Alligator mississippiensis: one gene and its partner. The protein of the gene in region 2 interacts with the protein of the main gene of each other region in a pairwise test. Links are inferred from orthologs where the notes say so. Each region holds a gene or a part of one and is shown on either strand. Other genes may lie near its edges.

The links. The genes of interacting proteins can lie anywhere in the genome.
Region 1: the proteins of GFAP (region 2) and TUBGCP4 interact in a two-hybrid assay, tested with the Homo sapiens proteins (2 studies listed by BioGRID and IntAct). The two-hybrid records come from large-scale screens. The link is inferred for Alligator mississippiensis from reciprocal best matches to the Homo sapiens genes GFAP and TUBGCP4.

Annotation. Positions count from the first base shown.
Region 1 is NC_081834.1:440,109-449,639, forward strand, and holds the start of TUBGCP4 (gamma-tubulin complex component 4), read left to right. Parts: upstream 1-5,033; 5' UTR 5,034-5,087; coding exon 5,088-5,165; intron 5,166-5,255; coding exon 5,256-5,408; intron 5,409-7,140; coding exon of another isoform or gene 7,141-7,144; coding exon 7,145-7,267; intron 7,268-7,782; coding exon 7,783-7,836; intron 7,837-8,768; coding exon 8,769-8,825; intron 8,826-9,531. UniProt on the Homo sapiens protein: Component of the gamma-tubulin ring complex (gTuRC) which mediates microtubule nucleation.
Region 2 is NC_081827.1:161,783,653-161,794,034, forward strand, and holds the start of GFAP (glial fibrillary acidic protein), read left to right. Parts: upstream 1-6,011; 5' UTR 6,012-6,080; coding exon 6,081-6,592; intron 6,593-10,328; coding exon 10,329-10,382.

The DNA.
Region 1 (9,531 bases), on a different chromosome or scaffold from region 2:
TATTTTGATATTTAGATCCCTTCAGGGGATCAACAGTATAGGTGTTTTGAAAGTTATAGCTGTGGAAAGATCTTAAAAATCATAATAAAATTATAAAAACATGTCTGTCCAGGGAAAACATTGGTAAACAATCTGGTCCACTAAGTATTCAAGACAGCAGCCTGGGATCACCTTTGTCCAGACTGAAAGAGTTAAAAAAGGTACTGTTTTGGGTTTTTTTAACCTTTGTTCTGAGCTTGGAGCTAATATGCTCTTCTACAATCTAATTCTCTCAAAACTAGCCACTTTGGCTGTGTCCCCACGAGCAGGGGCATGCGGTTGTGCTGTTGTGTTTTTGCCCTGGCAAAACCCCTGTACGTGGGGTTAGTGCAGGGAAAAATGCTCCGGGTGGGGCAGAGGAGGCTGAGGCCGGCACCTGTGCTGGCCCCAGCAGCCTTACCTGGGTCCTCCCGGGGCAGCAGCGGCTGTGATCAGGCAGCAGGGAGCCTGGCCAGCAGCCAGATCATGGCTCTGTGGTTGGCCAGGGTCCTGGTCTGGTGGCACAAGCTCCTGCCACATGCACTGCACCATACTTTCTTTGGGGTAGTTTTTCTTGACACTGGGATTTCCCAGTGACAAAGAAAACCCACCACACTACAATTTCACAGCGCGGCAAATATGGGCACGTGTGCAGTTTGCGGCGCCACAAACCACACATACGTGCTCACCTGGAGAAACCCTTTCTGCCCGAGAAGCCTCTGCATTTCAGTTAATTAAATTAACATTTGCAACTCGGTGAGCTATCACCGAGCATGACAGGTCTTGATGTTAAGAACTTAGCAAAATACTGGACATGCCTTGGGTCCTGGATGCAACTCAGGGAAGAAGACCCCCATGACATGCCAAACAGCAATGAATTTGTACATCTAAATAGTTGGTGCTTGTTTAAATAGATAAGTAAGAGAAAATCTGAGCTACAGGAAGGAAAACAACCCAAACTGAATGAGAAGAGAAACCGTATCTTGGATAGCTGGTTAGATCTAAATATTCTTTTTCTGGTTGACTTAGGTTTCCATGTAAAATCAGGCACCTCCCAAGAAAAGCAGTACAGGATCTGAAAAGAAGAAAAGAAGTGAGGTGGGGTCCCACTAACCTGTTAATAAAACCAGCTTCTTCCCTAGTATCCACAAGAAGTAGGTTTGCTTGTCCAAGTTACACTTCCACCTCCGGATTTTCCACAGTGCCTGTGTCTTTAGATGTGAAACCCTTCAGAGCAGGGAGCCAATTTTTTGTGCGCTGTGCTGTGCTGAATACATAGTGATTACTAAATTCATTTGATACAGCAACTACAGCTTCAGCTAACAAATTACATCAACCAGTAAAGGGTAAGGACAGTATTTCAGTTCTGAAATGAGATCTTTTCTGAATGCAGCGCTTCCTCTTTCCTCTCTCCCCTTGCTAGAAATCCAAGCAAAGACAGCAATGAGTAAGTCTTCCAACAGCAGCTATATTCAGAAAGAATAAAATTCACCCCTGAACTGAAAACCAGCACAGAGGCTCATCACCCTTCAGTATTATGAAAAGATGACAAAATAGAAAGAAAGCGGTGCTTTGGCATTGACCCTTGCACGGGGATGAATTTTAACCATCATAGGCTTGGCTGAATGCTAATGCCCCAGGAGAAGAAGGAATCAATGTTGCTCTTTCTTAGGAAGAATTCAAGACAAATTCCCCCAAACCCCAGGAATTCAGGATACGTTTGCAGGACCATTACCTCAAGTCCATTGCCCAGCCAGGAATCACTCTGACAAGTTACCCCATTTCTCAGGTTTCCTACTAACCAGAATCGCGGTCTCTCTCATGCAGCTCTTACCATGCTCCCTGATGTTGACGCTGTGAGCGATTATAAACAGCAACAGGCTGACTCCAGTGGCACGTGGGATCCTGCCCTAGAGAGGTGAACTATACTAGTGACTCCGCACAGGGGCAGGTAACCGAGGTCCTCTCTGACGGCAGCCCACAGAAATGAACTATGTTGTTATCTCTGTACACAGCAGGTGACTCACAGGCCATGGCTGAGTAGTGACTGCGGCAGCTCATTTTGGTCAGAATTGTTCTCTGTACCCGAGCCCCTGTGATTCCTTAGAAAATGGACACCAAGACCCCAAAACTGATGGGCACCTATTAGGAAAACAAGGCACTTTGTCTCCAGCCCCCTGGAGCTGCACCTGCTTTCCCCTGTCCCAGTCCAGCCACCGAAGACAATGGCAAGCCGGCCGTAGGGGAGCCAACTTTCTGCCCAGGTGTGGGAGACCTATCTCAGAGCTGCAGCTGTCCCAAGGCCTGATGCTCCCAGGGCCAGAAAGCACAGGTGACAGCAGCATGATTGATCCAGTGGTGGCACATGCAGCAGCAACCCAGGAGCATGGATCAAAGACCAAGCTGCTCCTGGTGCCACCTCCTTCCGCCCTGGCAGGGGTGGGGTGGGGCAGGGCAGGGCAGGGAAAAAGAGGCCGTGCACGGAGTCAACGGAACCAGGTCGGACCTGACCAGAGCGGAGCCAGCACCAGCACCAGCACGAGCACCAGGGACAGCCCGGCCTGGCTGCTGCTCACTGCTGGGTGGTGCTACTGCTGCGGGGCTGTGGGCTGGGGCCCAGGGTGTGCAGAAGCCTCCTGCCTCCAGGGAGGAGCTGGCGAGTGCAGGCCAGGACACAGCCAAGGGAGCAGGGATAGGCAGGTCAGGGCTCACCAGTTGCCCGTTCCCACCCACTGGTCCCACTTGCACCTATGGCAAGTCTCTGCCAGCCATAGACGGCGCCATGGCCCAGGCCCCACAAGTGACCACGTCCCCAGGGCAGGGTGGGGGTAGAAGCAGGCACCACAGCTACCCCTCTGGGAGGGGTGAGGATGAGGGCACCAGAGGCCAAAATGCTGGGCCATGCCCAGGCAGGTTCAGGATGAAGCAGCACAGCTGCCACTGGGCAGTCAGGGACACTTTCTCCCTCTTACCCACAGTGTGGGTTGCAATACCACACACCCTCTGGAAGTGCCTGCACATTGCGAAGCTCTGCCCGGTGCCTGCAACATCTTGCCCATGGGCGGCACCCCTCATTCATGGGCACACTGGAGGGGAGGGGAGGGGAGGGACAGGATCCAGCTAGATCTAGACAGGTTACAGATGTGGGCGGATGAGAATAGGATGGAGTTCAACGCAGACAAGTGCACGGTGCTGCATCTAGGGAGAAGGAGCCTGCAACACACCTACGGGCTGGGAACTCCCCTCTCAACAACACAGTGGCTGAAAGGGATCTTGGAGTCATTGTTGGCTCCAGGATGAACGTGAGCCGCGAATGTGAGGCAGTGGTCAGGAAGGCCGACCACACCTTGTCGTGCATCCACAGATGCATCATCTCGAGCAGGGCCAAGGAGATGATCCTCCCCTCGATGCGACACTGGTCAGGCTGCAGGTGGAGTACTGTGTCCAGGTCTGGGCGCCGCACTTCAGGAGGGATGTGGACAGCACGGAGAGGGTCCAGAGGAGGGCTGCCCGCATGGTCAGGGGCAGCAGGGCAGGCCCTACGCGGAGAGACTAAAGGGCCTGAAGCTACTCCACAAGAGAAGGCTGAGGGATCTGGTGGCCGTTTACAAACTCACCGGGGGGACGAGCAGAAAACAGGTAGGGCTCCGTATCCCCAAGCACTACCTGTGATAACAAGGAATAGTGGCCACAAATGGACGGAGAGCAGGTTCAGGTTAGATATCAGGAGCGTTACTTTACGGTCGGGGCTGCCGGGCTCTGCAATGGGCTCCCGAGGGAGGTGGTGCCCGCCCCTGTCTCGGGGGTCTTCAAGAGGAGGTTGGCTAGAGCTCTGGCTGGGGCGATACGATCCCAGCGCTCGTTCCTGCCCAGGGCAGGGGTCGGACCTGATGATCTGTTCAAGTCCCTTCCGACCCTAGTAACTATGAGACTCACACGTGCGGCTGAGCAGCGATATCGGCTGGACAACCCCTTCTCCCCAGCTGTCTGCCCTCAGACTGCAGGGCAAGGCCGAAGCGGTCAGTGCTGCCAGGTGGCGGCTGCTGGAACGAGCCCTGCGTCCCGTCGCTGAGCGCCTGCCGTCGGAGCTGCGGGAAGGCTGGACCGCTTCCCACGTTTGCTGCGACACCCTGAAACCGGGGGGTGGCAAGACTACAGCGCCGTGGGCGCCGCTTTGCTGTGGGAGTCGCGTGTGCGCACAGGGAGGAGACCGAGCGGGAAGCAAAGGAAAGGGAAGGCGCAGGTCTGCACCGTGACGCTGGGGACACGAGGCGGGGACAGACCGCAGACGCTCACCCAACACCTCCTGCCTCCGACCCCGCGCCGCACACGGGGAGCTACCCCGACGCCCCGGCCCTCAGCCGGGCCCCGCCACCCAGCTAGCGCCACGCGCCTCTGCCTCTGGGGGCGGGCTGTGTGCACCCTCAGCCCCGGGCGGGCGGGCGGGCCTGGAAAGCAGGCTGTGCCGTTACATTGCTCCCGACCGCCCGGGGCCGGCGGCTCCCGCACAGCAGACTGCCGGCCCGCGGGCCAGCCAGGCGCGAAGCCCAGCTCGAAGGACGAGGACTAGGACGAGGGCGTGGGCCGCGGCGGGGCGGGGGCTCGGGGGACGGCGGCCAGGAAGGGCCGGAGGGCGAGCGCTCGGGCAGGAGCCGGCCCAGCTCCACGAGCGCCCGGGCCGCCTCCCTGCGCTGCCAGCGGCGCGGCTCCGCGCGGAGCGAGCGCACGCGGGGCCCGGGCCTCCCGGCTTCGCACCAGGCGCAGCGCGCCCAGCTCTCCTCGCCGCCTCGCGCCCGGGAGTCCCGAGGGAGCTGGCCGAGGAGACTCCTGGGCGAGCCGCGCCCACGGCTGCCCGCGCCTCGCGCGCCCGCCCACGCCCCGCGCGCCACGCCTCCCGGCATGCTCTGCGGCTCCCGGCGGCCTGCGGGACTCCACTTCCCAGCATGCTCCGCGGCTCCCAGCGGCCTCTGCGGTCTGCGGGACTCCAGTTCCCGGCATGCTCCGCGGCGGCGGGCGGCCTGTTTGGCGGCGGGCGGTGTTTCCCGGCATGCCGCGCGGCCCCGGGCAGGATGATCCACGAGCTGCTGCTGGCGCTGAGCGGGTTCCCGGGCGCCGCCTTCACGTGGAGCAAGCGGGGCGGCCTGCAGGTACCACCGCCCCGCCCCCCCCCCGCCCCGTCCGCCCGCGCCGCGCTCCCGCCCCGCCCCGCCCCTGACCGCCCGCCCGCCCGCCCGCAGGTGAGCCAGGAGCTGCCCTTCCTGCACCCGAGCGAGACCGGCGTGCTGAGCCGCCTCTGCCGCCTGGGCACCGACTACCTCCGCTTCACCGACTTCGTGGCGCAGTACACGGGCCACGTGCAGCAGCAGCAGCAGCAGCAGCAGCAGCAGCAGGTGGGGCCGCGCGGCCAGGCGGGTTTACCGCCACAGCGCCCGCCCGCCCGCCCTGGGCGCGGGGCACGAGGCGGATCGGCGGGGCCGGGCCCTGGCACCAGACCCCTGCCCCCTCAGTGCCGCGGGGCCGTGCCGCAGCGCCCCGCCGGCTGTGCGTGCCCTGCCCTGCCCTGCCCTGCCGGCGCCGGGCGGGGAGCAGGGACCCCCGGGCAGCTTGCACTTGGCTCGGGCCGCGCCCCGCGGGGAGGCAGGCGGCGTCGGCAGCTCCGGCGCAGAGCCCTGGGCCGGGCCGGGCCGGGCCAGGCCGGGCGCGCTGGTGCAGGCGCCGGTGCGGCAGACCCGGGCCCCGCGGCAGTGGAGCGTGCCGGGCTGTCTTGGGGTCCGCGTCCCCTCGCTGGGGTCCTGGCTGCGCTCTGCCCGCGTGCCCGGCGCGTCGCCCTCTGACATCCCAGGTCGTCCGCTCAAACTCCTCCGTGGGCCGGCCGAGAGCCGCGGGCTGGCCGGGCCCAGGCGCCGGCAGGGCCGCCGTTCGGCCCCTTGTCTTGGCACATCCCCGGGCAGTCTCGCTGCACGGCGTCTGCAGCCCCAGGCGCTCCCGGGCAGCAGCGGACACCGGTCTGTTCTTCTCCGCCTGGTGCTTTCCTCTGGGGCCTGGTTATTAACCCGCAGATTTACTTCTCTTTCTGTTCTGTCTTTTTCTTCTGTCAAGAAATGGGCTGCGCAGCTCGTGGTGTCTCTGGCCGCCGAGGGGGGACGTGGTTCCCAGCAAGGCAGAGCTCAGTTACAGCGTAGCAAATACAGCAGTCTCCGGTGGGGGCAGGTAGTAAGTGCTTTAGAGGGAGAGCCCATGGCCGGGGCACGATCCTCTCCGTGTCACCTTCCCTCGTTGGTTTAGAGGTCAGAGGAGGCAGCCCTGACTTCTGTCTAATAGCTCCCAACGGACCTGTCCTTCCTCTCCAAGCTGCTCATACCTTCCCCTGCCACAAGTCAGCTACGCACTGGACATAAACAAAAGCTTGTCGTCTGACGAGATGCCTGTGGCGGAGCGCTCTCGCTGAGCGACGGCCTCGGGCCCCTCGTTAGGACATTTCAGCGTTGCTGACCCCGTCGGTCACATCGCGTACTGACGGGTGGGCGGTCACTTCCATTTGGTTCTCCGTAGCGATGTCTGCCTTAGCGCAGTACTGTCTTACCCACGGCAATCAGGCTAATTTGGAGAGGGAAGGAGAGCAGCAGGGAGAGAATTACCACGAGCGCGAAGAGCAAAGGCTTGTGAAGCCCCTGCAGCCCCTACCAGGCAAACCTAATTCACCTGGGGAAGAACAACAACTTGCAGTCGCTCAGACTGGACAGGCTTTGCAAGACTCGAGGGTGCTCCCCATCCCGCTAGGCTGGTGGGGCTGTGGCAAGTGCTTTACATACATGTGCCTCTTTCAGTGGCTGCCCCAAATAACAGCAACATGTTAGTGGCCACCTTTATTAGATGGTCTTCTGCCTCCGGACTGCCTTGCAGTGGGCACCTGCCTCTTCTGTGGTGAGTAGTGTCTCTGAGGGGACTGAATCTAGGTCTGCTCCATCCTTGCCAGCGCAAGCACCATCTCGTAACCTGTCCGTTCTGTTGGCACTTGCTGCGGTTGTTCGAGATGGGTATGTTTGTAACTTGGATCACTGGGCTGGTGTTAAAGCACCATCCAGACCTGCCTGGGGCCAATCCAGACTTTCCTGTTTGATTGCAGGACCATCACCCATCCCAGCAGAACCCAAGCGGGCTCCATGGGATTTACTTGCGGGCCTTCTGCACGGGGCTTGACTCTGTGCTGCAGCCCTATCGTCAGGCACTGCTTGACCTGGAACAAGAGGTAAGAGGGAGGTGGCCGTGCGTGTGGCTGGGCGCTGGAAGTGCTGCAGCCTGAACTCTGGCGCAGTGGGAACCTGCCTCTTGTATGGCGAGTAGCCTGACAAGCAGCTGCCAGGGACAGGACAGGAACTTTCACTTTTCACTTTGGGGATGTCTTCCAAATGGCTACTGCAAGTGCAGTCACTACTGGTCAGCGTATTCTGTGTCACTGACTTCCTCATCCATGGGAGGGCTCCCTCAGTGCCCGGGCAAGGCTCTGTCGCTCCAGCTGTAGTGATCCATGCTTTTAGCTCTGAAGATTTTTGACTAATCCCCTTGTCATGGCCAGGATAGCAGTGGTCATGTAACCTCTCAGGTGGGGTCACTGAGTCAGTGGTCTCACTGTGAGTTGCAGCCTGAAGTGGGACATGGCCCAAAAGTCTGTGGAGTGAGCTGTGATCAGGCCATTCGCTCTCGCTTACCTTCTCATAGGCTGTGGATTATTTCAGTTTGTGCTAACTGCTGTTGTTGTTGCAGTTCCTGGCTGATCCTCATCTCTCCATCTCGCACGTTAACTATTCCCTGGATCAGGTATGTTGCGTAGGACCTAGAGGCTTCAGGTTTATGCACCTTAATACTCATAGGTACAACATGGGTAATGCTGCAGAGCTTGGCATTGCTGCTAGACCCCCATCTTTCCAACCACCTGACTTTTGTACTTATCTCCTGAGTTTTAAAGTTGCATCAATGTCACCATTACCCTTTAGACCTAAGCTTGCAAGAAGAAATAGAGTTTCCTTCCTGCAAGGTTGCAGTAGCTGGTAGCACATATGTCACCAAGGTGGAGGAAGCTACGTGGTGTCTGTTTTTAGGCATCTTGATTTCCGAAATCACTAAATCCAGTGTGTCATCATTCACGAGCTTTCCTCCATGGAGTCCTGCTAGGAGTCTTATGCTGTATTTCATGGCTGAAGAACTTCTGAGCTGGGGATGGATGCCTGGATAGCCCCCTTAAGGAGTATAGGAGTGTGCCGGGGCGCAAAGAGCTCTTGCTTCAACCATCCATCTGCCCCTCTGTTTCCTGAAAACTCATTTAGAGTCCAGCTCTGAAACTGGAGTGGTGGGGGGAACTGCTTGATTTTTTTCATATCCTGGAGCCAAAGTCTCAAACTTGTCAATTTGAGAAACTGCAGAATCCCACTGACACACTTCCAGCCTATCAGTACAATGTTGTGTTCCCCACAGCTTGCTTACTGTGCAGAGTGTCTCCTTCTTCATGATGCAGCTTGAGCCCAATGCTGGGGTAGTGTTGCATTTCCCATATCTTAGGCTGGTTGTCTGTCCATGCAGAGACTGAGGTCTCCTGTTCTAGGGGCACCTAGATCAGGGCGATAGTGCTACCCAGTTGTGGGGCAACTGAAGTGACCAGCTGGAAAATCACTACATTTTGCTGCTTTGCCCCAAGTGCCCTTGCTGTCTCTTGCTTAGGAGCCTGCTCTTATGTGTTGATCCTTGCTTTGCAGTTCCAGCTGCTTTTCCCCTCGGTGATGGTGGTGGTTGAGCAGATCAAGACTCAGAAGGTACAGTGAGGGGTGACTGGGGCATCCACGCTGGGATGTGGCGTTCCCCCTCTTTCCCTTTAGTTGGAGTTGCTTGTGGGTGGAGGTGCCACCAGATGATAGACAGGGCTTGTAGACGGTTGGTGGGTGCACCCATCAGGAAGTAACTGGTTTCTCAGGGTCTGTCTTTCTCTCGGAGGCTACATGAAGCAGGCAGCAGAGAGATTCTGATCATAAGCAAGAGTGAGGTAGTGGGGTGATTTGCATCTTTAAAGTTGAGGGGAAGAGACAGATTTTTGGCAGACAGGCTTGGAGCTGGGGCAGGAGGGGAATGTGCAGCAATTCTTTCCCTTGACCTGGTCACACTGCTGTTTTCAGTATACAGGGACGAAACGTGTTGCCACGTTTGCACGTTAGTGGCTGGCTTTGCTCCTCCTTGTGCCTGATCCCAAAGGATTCGCATCCCAGGAAATTGGGGGCATTTGCTAGATTCTGTGAAGCACTGGGAGAAGCTTGTGTGCTGGCTGCTAAGTGGTGCCTGGGAAAGGGGGCTCACGCAGCATTGCGTGGAGCAGTGGTTTTCAAACTGGGGTGGGCATATCCCAGCCGCACGTGGCTAAGTTGTAATAATGGTGGTGGAGCTTCTGATTGGCCAGTGCGTGATGAGCAATGGTATTGCTGGGTGTTGATGCTGGCATCAGTACGCTTCCTGAGGAGTGAATGTGGA
Region 2 (10,382 bases):
GTAGTTACAGAACATGCAGCCAATTCAAGCAGGAGCCTAGGGGCCCCTGGGTGTTAAATCCTGAGTCTCTAATCTTCAAATCATGAAGCCAGACCACACAGCCTGGCCCCAGCAGCATCATAAACTCATCTGTGGTCCAGCTAGTGGAAAGGGAGAGTAAGCCATAATGGAGGCGCAGTCCCCGGCTCTGCTTGTAATACTACATGGGCAGGCTCCCAGCTATTCAACCTGGGGGGTCAGGGGCTGTCACCCAAGGAAGGCAGTGGGACCTTGGCACCTCATGAGGCTCAGTACACAGAAGGATTAGCAGCTGCTGGGAGCAGAGCACATCTTTCACTATCCTACCCCAATGGCATGGCATTCCTGGGTGGGAGAAGCCCTCCTGCTGGGCTCTGCTCAGCTCATCATGGGCAGACTAGGGAGTGGCGTCTGCTGCTACAGCTGTTGCACCAAAGTCAGTGCTGAGCTATAAGGCCTTCAGGCACTGCAGCTCCACGGATGAAGTACAGCTAGAACAGTGCACTTCCTTCTCCTGGTGGAGGCAGGGGGAGGTGGGGAGGGCAGAGATAGCACACCAGGTGTGGGGATAAGGGGAACTGGGTCTTTACTTGGTGGTGGCAGACATATCTCCTCCTGGCAGGGCACAGACTGAGTTCCTGACCCCTTTTTTTCTGGATTGTGGCCTCCACTTGTGGCCCAAGGTTTGGGCTGGGAGGGGGCAGGAGAAGCAGGGGGAGACCCATGTGCCCTGGAGCTGAGCCATTTGCTGTGGTTCTCACAGCCCCTCAGCCTGTCTCCCAGTACAGCAGATTTAACAAGGGGCATCCTCGGTAATTTTCTTCCCACAGGCAGAACCTCAGTCCCCCAGCTGCTGGGGACGGTGAGTTCCTGTGGTGGGACCGGGCCCCCAACAGGGGTAGCCAGCAGGAATCAATCCTCCTGCAATGATCATTGCCTGGACAGCACCTTGGGACAGAAATCATAGCACAGGGTATCTTCTGTGCCAGCCCCATGGGGGGGTTCATGCCGTGGCCTTGACCCCATTCATAAGGCCTTTGTGGAGCTGTCGGCTTCTGGCTCCAGGAACATGGGACAGATCAGCAGGGCTGTACTGTGGCAGGGCATAGCTGAGCCTGTGTGATCCTCTCCATAGCAAGGCCCCAAGGTTGCCGGGAGCCTGGGAATGCAGTGCTGCCTTGGGGATGGGCAGTGGGAGCACTGCCGGGACCAGCCTCATCCAGACTGCAGCAGCCTGTGAGCCCTGCCCTCTGCACTAGTCCATAGGCCACACTCTTCATCACCCCTTCACTGTGAATACCCCCTCTCCCTCTTTTCCCCCAGGGTGGGGACCATACCTACTTCTTCATCAGGACAGTATCCAGCACTATGAGGCTCTGGTGTTAGCTGGGGCCTCCTGCCACTGCCCCTGTAAACATGATTAATAACAACAAGGATGCTGGGCCCATCTGGAACAGCCTCACCTGATCCTGGAGATGCTCTCTCCACCCCAATACACCCCAGGCTGGAGGCTGATAAGTGGTCAGATGAGAATAGGATGGGGTTCAACGTAGACAAATGCAGGGTGCTGCACCTTGGGAGAAGGAATCCACAGCATACATACAGGCTGGGGAGTTCCCTTCTTGAAAGCACAGAGGCAGAAAGGGATCTTGGAGTCATTACCGACTCCAAGATGAACATGAGCTGCCAATGCCAGACTGCAGCCAGCAAGGCCAGCCATACCTTGTCATGCATCCAAAGGTGCATCTCAAGCCAGTCCAGAGAGGTGATGCTCCCCTTCTATGTGACTTTGGTCAGGCCGCAGTTGGAGTACTGCGTCCAGTACTGGGCACCGTACTTCAAAAGGGATGTGGCCAGCCTGGTGAGGGTTCAGAGGAGGGCTACCCACTTGGTGAGAGGGCAGCAGGACAGGCCCTGCGAGGAGAGACTGAAGGACCTGAACCTGTTCAGCCTCAGCAAGAGGAAGCTGAGGGGGGACCTGGTGGCTGCCTACAAACTCATCAGGGGAGATCATCAGCAAATAGGTAGAGCCCTTTTCTCCCCAGCACCACCGGGGGTGACAAGGAACAATGGTAATAAGCTGAGGGAGAATAGGTTTATGTTAGAGATCAGAAGGCAATATTTTACAGTTAGGGTGGCCAAAATCTGGAACCATCTTCCCAGGGAAATGGTCCTTGCCCCTACCTTGGGCATATTCAAGAGGAGGTTGGATGATCACTTGTCTGGGGTCTTGTGAACCCAGCATTCATTCCTGCCTGTGGCAGGGGGTCAGTCTAGATGATCTGGTCAGGTCCCTCCTGACCCTAACTACTATGAAACTATGAAACTGATCCAAGCAAGGACCCCTCTCCATCCCCCAGAGAATTAATTCCAGATTTCCCACTGGGACTACACGAAGCAGGTAGGAGCCATGGAATGAGTCTCATGTTGGGTCAGTCAGGCTTCAGCGGATCTCTCTCCCCTGCTGCAGGACAAGCCACCTGTACTTCAGCTACACTGGCTGAAGGGAGGACAGTCCCACTGCATAATGCCTCTGGAGCTGCCACATCTGCACTGGCGTTGGACACGCTTATATGTGGCACCAACAGCTGTGGGGGTACATCTTGCTGCTCATAGCACTCTTCGGTCCATGAGTTCTTTCCCAGTGAATGAGGAGAGTTTGTTGCTCCTTCCTGGGTCAAAGAGGGAACTGTGGGAAGGCACAGGAGGACTAGCAGCACCTGAGTGGCACTAGCCTGCACCCACACAGCACAGTGGTTGTGCTGGCAGCTGAGGCATTATGCTCCCTCAAGCATGAGCTGGTTCCCACTATGGGGCAGCTATCCTATGCTAAAGTGCCACTGGGTCTGAGTTAGGGACTTTGTGTGTGGATGGGGTTCAGGTTGTAACTCAGTCAATCCTGCAGTGAAGGAAAGCCCCCACTTTCAACCCCTCTCTGGAGTGTCAGGGCTTCAAGGAGCTCCCCATCACCTGGGCCTTACCAGTGATTACTTATGGCCAGACACCCTTGCTTCATGTCTTTGTTGAGCCCTGAGCTGGAGGTGCCATTTCTGGGTGCTCCTTGGCCATGGCTGTAACGAGCCTGGACCCAGTCATCCCTTGGGCTATACCAAGGGAGCCCTATCCACTCAGGGCTATACAAACCCAGAACAGATGGGTTCAAGCTGTTTGGCCTTCAGGGGACTTAGCTGGGCTTGGCTTGGCTTCTTGCCTGGTTGGAAGGCCTGGCTCAGGCCTGGTTCCTGCCTTGCCTCCTGGGCTCCTCAGGTCCTCAGTCCTAATTCCAGCTCTTTGACTCCTTGGCTTTGGACTCCTGCCCTGGGGGGCTTTGGCTCCTAGCCTTGACTCTTCAGCTTAGGACCCTGGTCTTGGCTCCTGGACTCTGCCCTCTGCCTTGGGAGGCAGTCATGCTGATGTCAAGCAGTGGATGGCTCAAACAGCATATCCCTTAGGAGCTTGGAGAGCTGGAGATGTGGGGAGCACCCAGTCCTGCAAACAGCAGATGCTCTGTGTGCCCCATCATGGATTCATTCTTAATGACCAGAGGCCTTCCAAGCTGTGATATCAAGAAATGAGGGGGAAGAAGCCCCATCTGAGAAGTGAGTGGCAAGCTCAGAATCAGTATGACCATGTGGGAATAGATACCAAGGAGTCCTGGGCCCCTCACAGGAAACTGATCTTGCTACAATATACAATATGGTATTATTTCCCCCAACCCAGAAGTCTGCACTCCCAGACCTTTGCTCTAGCTCCTTAGGTAACACTCTTCTAGACTTGGGAATAGGACCCAGGAGTCCTGAGTTACTCTTTTTAATAGCTAGGCTACACAGGGTCAGGAGTCTTACTCTCAAGCATCCTGCTCTAATTACTATATCCCATCATCTTGCCAGAACCCAGGAGTCCTGAATTCCAGCCCAGGGCTGGACACAGTGACATTAGAAACTTCAGGCTGTAAAAACTCCCACAATAACAATAGAAAATGACTTGGAAGTTTCCACTGCTTCTACAGAACCACTGGAGTGGAAACCAAGTTCAGGGGTTTCAAACAAATACTCAATTTAAGTCTTTCTTAATTAGCTTCTCAGCTGTCTGCCTAAACTGGCCTCTTAAAAAAGGAGTCTCCATCCAAGAGAAATCAAAGTCTTGTCATCTAGATAATTTTGACGGTAACAAGCTGGGATGTGCAGGAATACAGCTGGCCATCAAATGCTCTTGTGTGGGGAGCAGAGAACAAGGGCTCTAACATGTATGTTTGAAGCCTGATGTGTGCATGTGTGTTTTGCTAAATACAGTCTGTAGTGTGGATGTGCAGCCCAGAGCACTGGCTGCCCCCAAACCACAAGAGAATGCCTGGCAGAACTGCACGTGTATTTTTAGACCCCAAAGGTTTGTCTTTCCAAAGTATTCATAATGGAGGGCCGAGGACAGGTGTGAAAGTATGCTGGAAGAGTGTTTTGTGACTATTATGTTTTTAAGCAGAGCCTCATGCCTGAGTTTATAATGTGTAAAAGTATGAAGTGAAGTGCTCATGGGGGGCACAGAGAAGCCCTACAGGACTAGTGTCAGATAAGCATAGTTGGTTGTTATTAAAATTATCACGCATTATCACAGTGAGCACCAAGCAGGCCCACTACACCGTGCTCTGTAAGTATGCATCGTATGAGATGGTCCCCCACATGGTGGGTTGCAATCAACATGTACGTATTCCTCAAACTGCAGCAAAGAAAATTTAGGTTTGAGATTAGGAAAAATGTTCTGACTCTGAGGGTGATCAAGCATTGGAAAAGGCTACCTAGAGAAGTTGTGGACTCTCCATCCCTGGAAGTTTTCAAGAGCAGGTTACTTGGTTGGGCTGTTTTAGTCACAATGATCCTGGCTTGAGAAGGCGACTGGACTAGATGACCTCATGAAGTCCTTTTCAGCCCTACTTTCTTATGATCCTATATACAAGTCAGATAAAGGGGAGGAGGAAAAATGAGGCACAGAGGTAGGCAGTGACTTGACCACGGTCACCCAGCAGAGCAGTGGCAGAGCAGGAAAGAGAACCCAGGTGTCTGGAATGCCAGATGATATTTTTAAGTAATACAAAGATCTAAAAAATGGGCAAAACAATACAAACTTATCTTCTCCCCACTCGGGGCCTAATTGTAGACATGCCAGTGCTGTAATTTGTATGTACAAAAGCACATCTAAGTTAGGAAGAATGGTCAGCTGCGTTTTCAGTGTACTAACAGCATGCTTTAATGCATATGTTAATGGTGCCTGTGGTATTTTAAATATATTATGAGACCATGTTTCCAGGGGTACAGTGCAGAAGATTTCTTTCCCTTGTGCATAAATAAGAAGTGACGTAAGCTCAAAGCAAGACCCCTTGTGTCTGTGTGTGTGCCTACACACACATACATTCACACACATACATGCGTGTGTACACACCTATTCACCCCTTGCACGCACCCCCTCATGCACTGCTTGGTTGAACAGAACTCTTCTTCCCCTGGGAAGTCCCTGCTCCATCCCTCTAACAAACTGGAGACTTACTCTGACAAGCTTGCCCCTCCCCACCATGTCTCTGAGACTCCAGAACATGTTGGCTCGTTCTAGTCTCCAGGACTCTGGGAAAAAGGGCATGTACTGAACAGGGTGTCCTTTGCTACAGCCACCTCCCAGGAGCACACAGCCATGACACGAGTTTGCGGGATGCTGATGCCCACCCACCAGGGGGACAAGGGGCCCTGGAAGCTGTGGCCCACGCGTCCCCCACGTAGCACGTCAGCTGGTATTCACTCTCCTTTGCCCAGCACAATGACTGAGGGTTTCTGCTTCATTTGTCGGTCTTTGTTCCTCTGCCAAGGACTGGGCAGTTGGCACGGTACATGGCAGCTTCTAGGACCAGGCACACAATACCCACCCCCTTCAGGCTCCCCCCTCCTTTAGCTTCTCTCACACACACCCTGTCTGGGGAGGGCCAGTCCTCTGCATAAAACCCATTGCAGAGCAGCCAGCGTCCTGTCGGAGCTTTGCCACTGCCCGCAGGACTAGGCCTGGCCTAAAGGAGCAGGAGCATGAGTGTGAGCATGGAGGGCCAGAGGATGTCTTCTTATGGGAGGCGATTTGGCTCCCAAGCCACCATCCACCAGTCCCTGAGGTACTCTCCTGGCCGCAGGCCACTGTCCTCCAGCCCTACCTCCCGGGTCTCCGTGACCAAAATGAAGACCTCCAGCCTGAGCTTCCACACCAGCCCCCGCTTCAGCCAGGACAAGGTGGACTTTTCCCTGGCTGACGCCCTCAATGCTGAGTTCAAGGAGACACGCACCAATGAGAAGGTGGAGATGATGGAGTTGAATGACCGCTTTGCCAGCTACATTGAGAAGGTCCGTTTCCTAGAGCAGCAGAACAAGGTCCTGGTGGTGGAACTCAACCAGATCAGAGACAAGGAGCCCACCAAGCTGGCCGACATCTACCAGGAGGAGCTACGGGAGCTGCGGCGGCAAGTGGACCAGCTGTCTAACTCCAAGGCCAGGCTGGAGATCGAGAGGGACAACCTGCTGGAGGACGTCAGCATCCTCCGGCAAAAGTAAGGCACTGTCACAGAGCAGGGGAGCAGCTGATGTCCCTAGTGTTGTCAGTGCAGTGAAACAATGGCACAGAGCTGAAGCTATGGAGTCAGACAAGTCACACCAGGAGAGAGGAAGTAGTCACTTGCCCTGGCTGAGTAGCTGGAGATTCAGTACACTTTACAAGTTTTCCTTATGCTTTAAACTGATGGGAAGTAGGGCAGTGCCCTCACCCCCCTGCTTTACCTGCGGCAGGTTAAGTTGTTCCTGGCATCCTTGGACTACATGCCTTGTAGTTATGTGGCAGGTTGTTTGTGGGGTCTTAGGAATATGTTAGACAAATACCTGGCTGCGATGGTTTGGATATAGGGATGTTCCTGCCTCAAGCAGGGGGTTGGAGTGGGTGATCTCCGGAGGTCCCTGCCAGCCTTGCTTTTCCGTGATTCTTTGATATGATTCTGTGAGGGTGGAGGGAGGGGAGGATGAAAAGATAGATGGATAGACAGTGGTAGGACCCAGGGACTCATCTGCTGGTATAGATGGCAGAACTCCTGGGTTCCCAACACTGCTGCTGGCCTGATGGGTGACCTCAGTCAGGTCGCTCTCCCCTTCTCTGCCTAATGTTCACTGCCTGTAAGGGGAGCTGGGGGAGGGAGCTGTGAGCGCAAGGGGAACCAAGTGTTATCCATGGCCAGATTTTCAGGAGACCTCACACTAGTCTCCCATATTGTACTGGGAAAAAAAGCAACTATGCAGGGAAGTGTGGGCTTGTACTCCTGCATTTTCAAACCCTGGCCTGAGAGCTGGGTACCCAGCTGCCCAGTGTACCCATGCCGACTCTTGCCTGATCCCCCAGAGCTGCTGTATGCCCTGATGGGCAGGCATGAAAGCACATGTACCCAAGTGGTTTAACCAGCACAGGGCAGCAGTAAATGCATGTAGCGGAGGGACCTGCTCTCCCTGCCTCCCTCACTGCAGCCCTCTGTGACAAACAGCATGCTGGAGCAAGGCTCAGGAGAAAAGACTTCAGTCTGTGAGCCAAATTGCTTGCACACTGCACATGTAACAAAAGCTCTGCTCTGCTGAAGCTCTGGGGGCAGGACAGGAGGAGGAGGGGGAAGGGCTGCCAGCCTCATTAGAGAAGGGCTTGTCCCTGTGCTGGCTGCGCAGTTGTGCTGGCTATACACCAGCACACTGTGGTTTTTGGAGGAAGTGTACTCTAACAGTTTGGGCAGACAGCTAGACACCCAAAGTGGCATGTCCCAGTCCAGGCTGGGAGAGGTATGCTCTAGCACCAGGTTCCCAGTCTGTCCCCTGCTTTGAGACTGGGATGCCAGATTAGCATGGGTACAAGGATTTGGGAGTCAGGACTCCTGCGTTCCACCCATTTGAGCAAGATGTTAACTCTACTGTGTCTGAGGGAGGGCTCTTTGCTCACCCACAGGCCTTGTGAAACGTAGGCCCGCGAAAGACGTGCAAGTAAAGGTGCAATGGGGTCTGATGCAGGATCCCCACAATTGTGCTTCTATGCGCATGACAGGAGGTGTGATTGTGGGATTCTGCATCAGATCCCAGAGCACCTTATTGTCAGCACAGGAATGATCCTGGGCTCCCCCTGCACTGGCAAGTAGCAAGCTCCCATGTCTGGGAGACCCCTCAATTGAAGGGACTCCCAGCCACTGGGGGACACAATGCACTCCCAGGGCTGAGAGCCGTCAGCTGATGTGGCACCCAACCACTGGGGTGCATCATGTCTAGGAGCCCAGTCAGCTGATCCAGGCTCCCAACTGCAGGGTGCATCCCCCAGCTGGGAGCCTGGATCAGCTGATAGAGCTCCCATGCTGCTGGCAGCACCATCAGCCAACAAGGCACCCAGCCAGGCTCAGCCAGGCCACACATTCAATTGATGACATGATAGGAACCAGCCACAAAGTTATTCAACATTTTTTTATAATAGTTTTGTGGCTTATTCCTTGTTTTATGACACCATTAATTGCATTAATGTGTGGCTGAGTGACAACTTAAGACATGATGAACTGGTCAACCACATCTTAAATGCAACGTATGCCAGGGGCTGTAATTAGTTCATGTTTCCATTACAGCAAGGACTCAGGATTATTGTAGTTGACTGAAGGCTGTTAGCAGCAGCTCTACCCATGTCCCAGCCAAACACAGATGCAACATGCTGCATCCTACAGTGCACGCACACAACAGACCACCCAACACACTGCACCCCACAGTGCATGTGCACACAGACACATGGACACATGCACGTATGCACAACAAACACAAGCCAATGCACTGTGCCCCACTGGGCCCACACACAATAACCACTATGCCTGATTACTCTATGCCCACACCATGCATACAACAAACACAACCCCTGTGTGCTCCACCCCACAGAACACCTCCCAAAACAGCCCACTGCACACTCCACACCCACAGCATGCACACAGCAAGCACAACCCCTGTATGCTCGGCCTCCTGACCTCCCTACCCCATGGCCTGCAAGCCGCAGCCAGCCTAGATGCCTAGGCAATCAACACAGACAAAGGTGCTTCCTGCTGGTACCCACCACAGCCTGTCAGCATGTGCAACCCAAGCCAGCCAGCTCCATGTCAGTGCAGACTTCTGCTGACATCTGCCCTCTCCCTGGGTGAGTTCTGCTGCTTCCAGCTGACCATGACACCCTCCTTGACTTCAGGAACCTTGACAGTCAGGACACACTGGGCTCTACAGCCAAACCCTTGAAGCAGATAGTCTCATGCATCCACTAGCAATCGACCTTCTCAGCACTTCGGGCTCCTGCCCCCACATGCTTCTCCCTGCCACCACCCTCTCCTTGGCTTTCCTTGTCATTACCTTCTTGGGCTCTAGCCAGCATACTCCTCTGTGCCCTCATGGCTGGCAGTCTGGAATGATGCTCTCTGCAGACCATCTTTGGCTTGTACTAGATCCTGGAGGCCAGGCAGCTGCCAGGAGAAGCAGCATGTGAGTCCCCCCATGGCCCTGCAAGAGCCTACATCTTTCAGGAAACCTGCTTTTCACTCTAGGCACACTGCAGGGATCACCCCACTGCCCTTCCCAACCCACCATGCCCTGGCACCTGATTCTGCCCCTGGGCCTGACCTGAGAGGTGCTGTGTAGCTGCTCTGTAGTGTGGGACTAGGCAGTATTGGGAATAGCTTCCATGAAACTTGGCACTTCTGGGTCCCTGGGCCAACTTTTGCCTTTCCCAGAACAATGCTAGCATGCTGTAAGGGAGATGTGCCTGCTGGTGTCTAATGCTGCACCTGGGATGGGAACAAGTGCACTGATGGAGGAGGGGGCTGGGGTGTGTATCATGAGGCTTTGTGGAGGTGGGGGACAGATAGTGTGTATATGTGGTTGAGGACAGGAAGATGCTTGGAGATTGTGCGCCTGATGGTGATTGTCTGTGGGTGTCCACGCGAAGGAAGGTGTGTATTAGGAGTCTTGGGTGAGGGCAATCGTGTCTGTGTGAGATGGAGATAAATTCTGGGTATGTGGGTGAGGAGGATGGTGCATGTGAGGGTTGGAGGATGAGGAGGATTGTGTATGCAAAGAGGTGTGTGTGTGCGCGTGCATTAATGAAAGGGAATTATATGGGGTCTGTATGCTGCGTGGTTGTTTTGACCTTGAGGGTTTGTTTGTTTGGATTTAGCTGTTTGAAAGAAACAGAAAAGCCAATAATTAGATTAAAACTGTGCCAACTTCCCTGTTTGTTTCTTGTTTAAGGTTGCAGGATGAGATTAATCTGCGGCTGGAAGCTGAAAACAATTTGTCTTCCTA